Arabidopsis thaliana: one gene and its partner. The protein of the gene in region 2 interacts with the protein of the main gene of each other region in a pairwise test. Each region holds a gene or a part of one and is shown on either strand. Other genes may lie near its edges.

The links.
Region 1: the proteins of NF-YB2 (region 2) and NF-YC7 interact in binary tests that used the Arabidopsis thaliana proteins (3 or more experiments, as listed by UniProt).

What each region holds. Positions count from the first base shown.
Region 1 is NC_003076.8:20,553,846-20,557,623, forward strand, and holds NF-YC7 (nuclear factor Y, subunit C7), read right to left. Parts: upstream 1,914-3,778; coding exon 1,275-1,913; downstream 1-1,274. UniProt on the Arabidopsis thaliana protein: Stimulates the transcription of various genes by recognizing and binding to a CCAAT motif in promoters.
Region 2 is NC_003076.8:19,306,601-19,311,494, reverse strand, and holds NF-YB2 (nuclear factor Y, subunit B2), read right to left. Parts: upstream 2,269-4,894; 5' UTR 2,082-2,268; coding exon 1,509-2,081; 3' UTR 1,223-1,508; downstream 1-1,222. Other genes in the region: NUDT2 (nudix hydrolase homolog 2), read left to right, coding at 66-203, 301-378, 457-507, 603-637, 710-818, 916-1,104; AT5G47635 (Pollen Ole e 1 allergen and extensin family protein), read left to right, coding at 3,646-3,847, 3,922-4,214; mtACP3 (mitochondrial acyl carrier protein 3), read right to left, coding at 4,610-4,798, 4,892-4,894. UniProt on the Arabidopsis thaliana protein: Component of the NF-Y/HAP transcription factor complex. The NF-Y complex stimulates the transcription of various genes by recognizing and binding to a CCAAT motif in promoters.

The DNA of each region.
Region 1 (3,778 bases), 1.2 Mb from region 2:
CTTTTTATATATTTTTTCTAAATTAAAAACATAATTTAATATTTAGTTAATTAAAGTGAGTTTGGCCAATGAAATTCGTTACTGCATAATATATATATAGTCATAAAAGTATATAAATTCTACGCTTGCATAGAAATTTGAATTATTTGTCTAAAACATCTTATGTTAAGAATCAAAATAATTTGGCTAAAACAACTTATAATATAAAACCGAGAAAGTAGTGTTTTGGAGTTTTTATTTATGTTTTCTGGCTACTCTTTAATGTAGCCATTTAAAGTAAAAAGAAAATGAAACCAAGTATATATATAAGAGTGAGGACCCTTTTCATAAACAGAAGGATTTATTGCTTCTAAAAATTAAATTGTCTAGATTGTTTTCTATCTTTTCATAAGAAGAAAGATTTATTGCTTAAAAAAAAAGTAAATATTCAAAGATTTTTTTTTATCTAATGATTACGAAGTGAAAATATTTGGTTTTATTATGTGGCTCCTAATTGGTCGTTACGAACAATGTTTGTTTTACGAACACTTGTTATCCACAACAATTTTCAAGGTGTTCCACAACTATATTTTCAATAGATCTTTTACACATTAGATGTTCATATCTTGAAAACGAAATATACTATGTGAGAAACAACTCATGCCAAATTGAGAAAACTGGAATAATATATCAGCGGTTTGCAAGTAAAATTTCGTTGCATAATAAAACCGGAGTATAACTTTCACGCGAAAATCCATTTTAAAATCAAAATGCTGGAAAATTTACGAACATAGATTCGGGATTCAAAAAGATCTCTTACTAGATCCTAAGATCATGATGCCTACATATTCACAACGTATACAAAATTAATACCATGAGCCATGGGGATTTTCTACTTTCATAAAGGATAACTAGAAGATGGAGCTAGTAGTATATGTTTTTTATGGTAATTGACATTTATGCCTAGTTCATTGTGTTTTTTCGTAATGAACTGCGAATATTTTGGTGATTCTTTGGCATAAACTAATCTAAAGCAAAGAAGAAAATAAGAGTTAACTAAAATTCCATTGTCTTCCATTTGCTTTCGTTAATGCCATGTGTTTTGGTGTTGTTGATGTTATGTTTAGTCTTCTATGTGATATTTCACATGGAAGACTACACATAACACCAACAACAACAGAACACATGACATTAACGAAAGCAAAACATAATAACAACAACAACAACAAACATGACTCGATAGAGATACAAATTCTCACAAAAGCATTACAACCCTAAAACCCAATCAACACTTTTCAATTACCGCCGCTGCTTCCTCCAATTTCCCCAGCTGCCTCCTCTCCGTCACCAGGCACCGCCGGCCACTCCTGCATCTGTGGCGGTGACGCGTACACACCATTACAATCAAACACCGGATATCCTATCACCGTTCCCGGAGGAAGTACTTCACCGTCCGGATGTAGCACGGGATCATCGGTAACGACGGAAGGGTCTCTTGGGACAACGTCGCCAAGGAAGGTAAATTTGAAACTACGAGTCGTTGCGGCGGAGATATCGGATCTCGTGAGCGTATCGGATCTCTTGAGAGTTTGGCGACCGCCCTCCACGGTATGAAGCCACGATCGCATTGTGAGATCAAGAATGAGCATCTCACAGGCCTTCGATATAAGGACCGGAGCCTCTGCAGTGACCATGTTCACTTCCGGGTTGGACTTCATGATTTTCTTTATCCTGGTTAGTGGAAACGCATGATGCTTAACATCAGTTGCGTTTCCCATCTGCGCAATCCAATAATTCCGCATCTGCGGTGAGTACGGCAGCGGCAGTGAATATGACGGCAACGGCATTGATTGATAATACAATGGTGGCGGCGGCAGTTGGGAAGACGATGGTTGCGGCAGGTAGTGGTTGTTGTTGCCGTTGTTCTCTTCCATTTTGATCTTTACGTTTTTCTTGTTCACTTTCTAGGCTAGGGTTTCCATATTTAAAGGCTGATTAAGTGGGCTACGAAATCAGCCCAACTATTTTCTCAAAAATAAAATTTATTTTTTATTAATATTTTGTTTTGTGTTATACAATATTTACTAATATATGTGAAATCCCAAAATACAAAACCTCACTTTCTATTCATTATAAATTTTTGTTAACCAATACTTTTTGGATTTTATAAATTTTAAAACTTATAAAATTTAGATAAGGTGAAAGCTATTAGTCAACTATAGCTTTAGATAAGGTGGATTTTATACTAACCAATTTAGGGAAGTATGTGAAAGCTAGCATATGAGGAATGTCGTCAATGGTTTTGTGCCCAAGATCTGATTAGTCAAAGAAGAAAACTATAAGTGGTGCCTTGGAGTGGTAATTAGTGGGAAGATACCAAACTGAGAATTTTCTAATGCGCAATGGAAAGTATGTGGAGTTTCCGCATAGATAAGGTGACTTTGGCTTCGAGTGAAAAAGCTATAGTTGTGTACTTAAAATCCAATGCTTGGCCTGCTTCTTTGTGTTATCATTCTTAGGAGATTGCAAATATTGTCAGCATTTCAAAGATGCAAATATGTATGTCAATTTGTCTTGTGCATGAGACCGATCTAATCTGAAGCATTAATTTAAAGGTAGCAAAGGAACATGTTTCATCATTCAAAGATATCTCAATGCAGATAACAATTCCAAATCAATGAAAACACAAGTGGTGGAAAGAGATATTTGAATAGATGGTTTTCGCGCCAAAGTTCGTTAAAATATCAAGCTTAAAATTTAAACATCCAAAGATATTGTTTATGTAAAGAATATGTTTCTCTTAACCTTAGATATTATTTTTAAAGGAAATAATTACTACTTTTAGGGCCGGTCCAAACATAATTTGCCGTCACCTGTTAAAAAGAAATTACAAAAGTTAGGAAATTAGGATCGAACTGGTCACCTAAAGCGGATATCCATCAACTTTTCGGAAATAAACTTTTTATGAAATGATGCGCCTATATATTTATATAGAGAGTTCTTTGCCTAAAACCTTTGTTTCATGAGATTTTTAGGCTTTAATCGAAAGTCGAACCTGATTACTTGAACAAACGAATCATGCAAAATCTAGAAAAAACAATGATGAGTTCAACATTTGGTGTGAAATTTAGTTAGCTGGATAAAAGCAATCAAACCAGATTATTTTTTATTGATATGGAGTTATTGAAAACATTTATGCATAGTCCTTGTGATGATAATCAGCCCCATCCCAAATAAAATTAGAGATGTAAGGTTACCCAATTTGTTTTTGCTATAAAAAGCTTTATTTAAAAAACAAAATCAGGCTTATTATTTTTAAAACAAAAAATGGGGTTTTGAACTATAATTTTGGGCTAATTATAAGTTGTTTTATAAAATATGGGTTTTTTATATATCAATTTTACTTCAAAAATAAAAAAAGTCTTGACCCTCACACCTTACGACTCACCCATTGGGTCGAGGTTGATGATAACAAGCTCGGCCCAAATAGGATGGGCAAAAGGGCAGTAGCCCATGATTCCATGATTTTTTCTGAATTATTTTTTAAAAAGGCCATATTTTATAAAAAAATTAATTTGACTGAAAATATCTAATAAATGGCCCAATATATTTGGAGAAAAAAACTTTTACATGAAATGGGGCCCTTAATATTACTTTAAAAAAATAATTAATTTGTAATCGGATTAGAAGGAGAGTAATCGAATGAGTGATTTTTTAAGGGATTAGTCATTAATCATGGATAGAATGGACTTAACGATTAAGCGGAGAGTAACCGGATATGATGGACTTAGCGATTAAA
Region 2 (4,894 bases):
AAACCCCCTTTTGCTTATTGTTTGGAGAGTCTTCATATCACTTACTGGTTGTGTATTATGTGTAGGAGGGATTCTGGTTTCACCACGCGGAGAAAGACTACTTGATGCTTGTCTATTGGATTCCCAAAGAAGACGATACGCTTCCTGCCAATGCATCTCACCGTGTTGGCATAGGTGCCTTTGTCATTAACCACAACAAAGAGGTTTGATTACTGATGAGATGAGATTTTTAGTGTGTCTTTTTGGAACATCTCCAAGAATGGATCACATCTCTTTTCTTTTCTGTATTTGAATCCAAAGGTGCTGGTGGTTCAAGAGAAGACAGGGAGATTTCAAGGTCAAGGTATCTGGAAGTTCCCCACCGGAGTTGTGAATGAGGTGCTGGTTCTTATTAAAGCTCATTACATGGTTAGGTTCAGCTCTCTGATTCGCCTTTTTGTGTTTGTGTTGAGTCAGGGTGAAGACATTCATGATGGCTCAGTCAGAGAGGTGAAAGAAGAGACCGGAGTAAGGCTTCTTCATGCCTCAACTTTTCACTGTCCTCTTTACAGTTTACATGAGACCAAGAGCTAATCCCACTCTTCTGCATCGTATGTTTTCAGGTGGATACAGAATTCGACCAAATATTGGCCTTCAGGTAGCAACTCCAACTGCATAATCTTCTATATTGCAACATAACTGATTCTCGTCTGTTTTAAAATTCTGGCAGACAAACACACAAAGCGTTCTTTGGAAAGTCAGATTTGTTCTTCGTGTGCATGTTAAAGCCCCTTTCTTTGGAGATCAACGCACAGGAGTCAGAGATTGAGGCAGCTCAGGTAACAGTTTTTGCTCCTCACTTCAACGACTCTCCAGTCTCATCCACTAAAACACTCATAAACCTCTTCTCTTTCTGAAAATGGGAATTTGGTGCAGTGGATGCCTTGGGAGGAATACATAAATCAACCATTTGTACAAAATTATGAGCTATTGAGGTATATGACAGACATTTGCTCTGCTAAAACCAACGGAGACTACGAAGGCTTCACTCCTCTCCGCGTCTCTGCACCTGATCAACAAGGCAACTTGTACTACAACACCCGCGACTTACATTCGCGCAATTGACCTTCTTTCTCAACAAACAGAGCTTTCCTCACAGATTCTAACGAAGCTGGTTTCTTTGCTGCCTCTCTATGTAAGCATTTTGACACTTGAATCACTACATAACTCTCACCAAAACATAAAAGCATCCCAAATGAAAACATTTGCATTCAATACAATGGCTTTAGTTACATACAAGATTCAATGAAGCAGATTCGTTAGTGAATCCTATTGTTCAACAAGCACACTTGATCTTCTTTACACAGCCTCAAAATCTAAACCCTTAATGCACATCTGATTTTACATCACCAACACCAATGTTCGTTCTATCACATGATAGATACCTTATATGGGTCGTAAAAATAGGCATGTGTATACATGTATTTATGTATCTATATACAGAGAGAGATCCACTTCACCAATCTTTGTTAAGTCCTTGTCCTACCGGAGGCAGCTCCACCTCCACTGTCGCTACCGCCACCTGTGGCTCCATACATATGGTTCTGCTGGTGAAGAAACTGATGATGTTGGTGATACTGCATCCCACCACCACCACCGTAGAACCCACCGCCATCTCCGACAGCATCTCTCTGATGCTCTCCGACCTCACCACCAGTCTGTGGCCTCCCTAGTCCAGTCCTCTCCCCTTCGATCTCCCTAAACCTCTGCAAGTAAACTTTCAATGGCTCAACATAATCCTCAAAACCTAGAGTAGTCATAGCCCAGAGCAAATCGTCTCCGTTGATCGTCTTCCTCTTCTCCTTCTGACACTTATCAGATGCTTCTCCGGTGACGAAGCTGATGAACTCGGAGACACACTCCTGCATCGTCTCTTTGGCATCTTTAGAGATCTTGGCGTTGGCGGGCAAGGCCTTCTTCATGATCCGGCTGACGTTAGCGATCGGCAAGAACCTGTCTTGCTCTCTTGGAGACAAGGAGGACTGTCCGTTCTGGTTGTTCCCGTTTTGCCCTCCACCGGAATCCCTGTCGGAATCCCCCATTTCTGAAAATTACAAGGAATAAAAAAATAAACTTTACTCTTTTTTCAAATCATTTCCATCAATGATTCGAAATCGAATTCAATTGGTGGTTGACTTGAGTGGGAAGACTGAAGCGAGAAAATTTAGGGTTTTAGAAAGAGTAAAAAGAGCAGGTGTGAATTGTTAAGTGTCGGCTGGTATTGTACACAGTGGTGAAGGAGTCGCCGGAGCTTATATAAAGAGAGGACGCACGACTTCTGCTCACTTGACACGTGATCTTATATGAACCGTCCGTTTACTGATAAGATTCTGACAACTGGATACGTGCTCGACCGTCGGATTGGAATTGATCTTGTTTGAGAGATAGACAGCCCTTTAAGGCTTTGCCACGTGTTGTGGACAGTTAGTGGACCCGGCACACTTTTGTCACGAGCCGACGCGCATAAGAGGAGCGTGGTAAACACACAGAAGAGAGAAAGATAGCGCGTGGAAAACACGGAGAAGATAGGTGGGCGTTAGGGAGACAGAGGGTAACTGCCACTCAACGACCCTTCGGTCAATTTTTCACTTCTTTTTTTTTTTGTGTTACGAGCGAATTGGGTTGGATCATGAGGGTGTGGTCTGTGGTGGGGTTCATTGCCATCAAAACTGCATCGACCAATCAGATCAGACAGCTGTTTGGAAACAAAAAGCGTCCCAGTTTTGTCCACTTTTGACGGTCTCGATCTTCTCCTGTGGGTCCAACCATTGTCGCTTTTCTAAGCGTGTGATTAGTTAACATTAACAATAATCACCAGCTTCCAGCTGTATTAAGCTCTTAATGACATAGCTAATACTTGTCCCACCTGGAGAATCCTAATGGGCCGTTAAGATAATCAAACTGAATGGCCCATTAAAGGTGATGGACCTATTATCAATATCTAGGCTTCTTTTAAGCCCATACTTTTTTCAATGTAATGAGGACTTGAGAAACTGTGGTTTGGTCAAAACCCTGCTGACTCCCACCATCAACTAGATATTCTGAGCACGTAGACACGACCAAACCCACGATGTTGAAGCCGTTGTGTTCAAAGCTGAATGTGTGCGAGTATAGTTGAGGGTAGGCTTGAATCTTTTGGTTACTGCATGACTACTCTAACTGAATTGGCTTAATTAAATAAAGAAAAGGAGAAACGTCACACTAGATACAAAAACGTTGCACCAAATATTATTATTAAAATAATACTTATACAAGGAGTGAAAGAGTAGGCGAACCACTCAGTAATTGCTTCCAAGTGCCGTATCTCTCTTTCTCTTTCGCTCTCGGTTCATTGTTTCATTTGGAAGATTCAGCTCTAAATTTGACCCTAACAAGTCAGCCACGATTTTTAATATATTTAGAAAAGATACAACTGAAAAGAAAAAGGCTACTACAAGGTATAAAGAGAGACACTGCCGTACAGAGCTGTGTGACCTGAAGCCACCACGCAAAGGGTCTCTTCCTCTTCTTTAGCTTCCTTCTTCTTCTCTATATATTCATGCTATTTTCATTTCTTTAACAAAATACAAAGAAAAACAAACAAACCTCTTTTCTTTGTTTTTAACGATGGGAAGCTTCTTCATCATCCGTTGCTTCTTGTTACTCTCTTTCTTCTTGTTCACCGGAGCATTTGGGAATAATTTATGGACCAGAACGGAAATGGTGGAGATGGCTGGCTACGGTGAACAGAAACTCTCCTCTGTCGTGATCACCGGATCTCTTCTCTGCGACACTTCACGTCCTCACCTTCACTCCATCCCTATCCCAGGTATTTGTTTCTCTACCTTTTTTCTTCATGTTTCTTGTCTTCCGTCCGAATATATACTAACATGATCCTCGCAGGTGCCACCGTTGCCATCAAGTGCCACACTGGATCCAAAAGGAGGTCCAAATGGATTAAGGCTGTTACTGATGAATTGGGAGAGTTTGAAATCGATCTTCCCTCCCAACTCCATGCGATTCCACACCTTGAAAACACTTGTTTCATCAAGCCAGTATATGTGCCTAGGCCCTATAGATGCTATAACACCTCTACCAATATACACAAACCTATCAAACTTGTTTCCTCTACCAATGGTTTCCGTGTCTACACCTCAGGGAAAATCAGGTTACAGGGCCACAGTTCGAGATCATAGCAAGCTCGTTGAGACAACATTTCAACCAAAAGATTTGAACACAAACAGCTGATTCTTCAAGTTCCTTCATGTGAAAAGCATTTTTTTTGTTATGGTCCTCGTTTGCTTAGCTGGCGCTCCAGTCACAGAACCGAGTTAGAGTCTCTCTACATTGTGTTTCATGTTCCCAAAGTGTAAGAACAAACAACTGTAAGCATCATGTATATAAAGGCTCCCATGTTTTTGGTACAAAAGTAGTGTGATCACATTAGAATATATATCATATAAAATGTTTAGCAGCAAAAACCCAAATGATCATATTGGCTGAAGCAAAGACACACTGACACAGAGCATGTCTCTAAACTTGCATTAACTAAACATTGAAAACAAGAGAGACAGAAAGGCAGAGATACAACTCAGGACTCAGACGCTTTGGTAGGAGTTTCAGAGAGTATGTATGTTGCAACATCACCACAACAAGTAAGCTTATCAGCTTTCTCATCAGGGATCTCAATCGAGAACTCTTCTTCAATAGCCATAACTAGCTCCGTCTTGTCCAAGCTGTCCAACGACAAATCTTTCTGAAAATCAGCCCTTTCAGTAACCTGCAAGTAAACAAGCCCCGTGTTACAAAACAACCATTCACCAAAATAAAAGGTTATACACAAAGAAAAAGCAGCAGTTTTGTAATCCCTAACCTC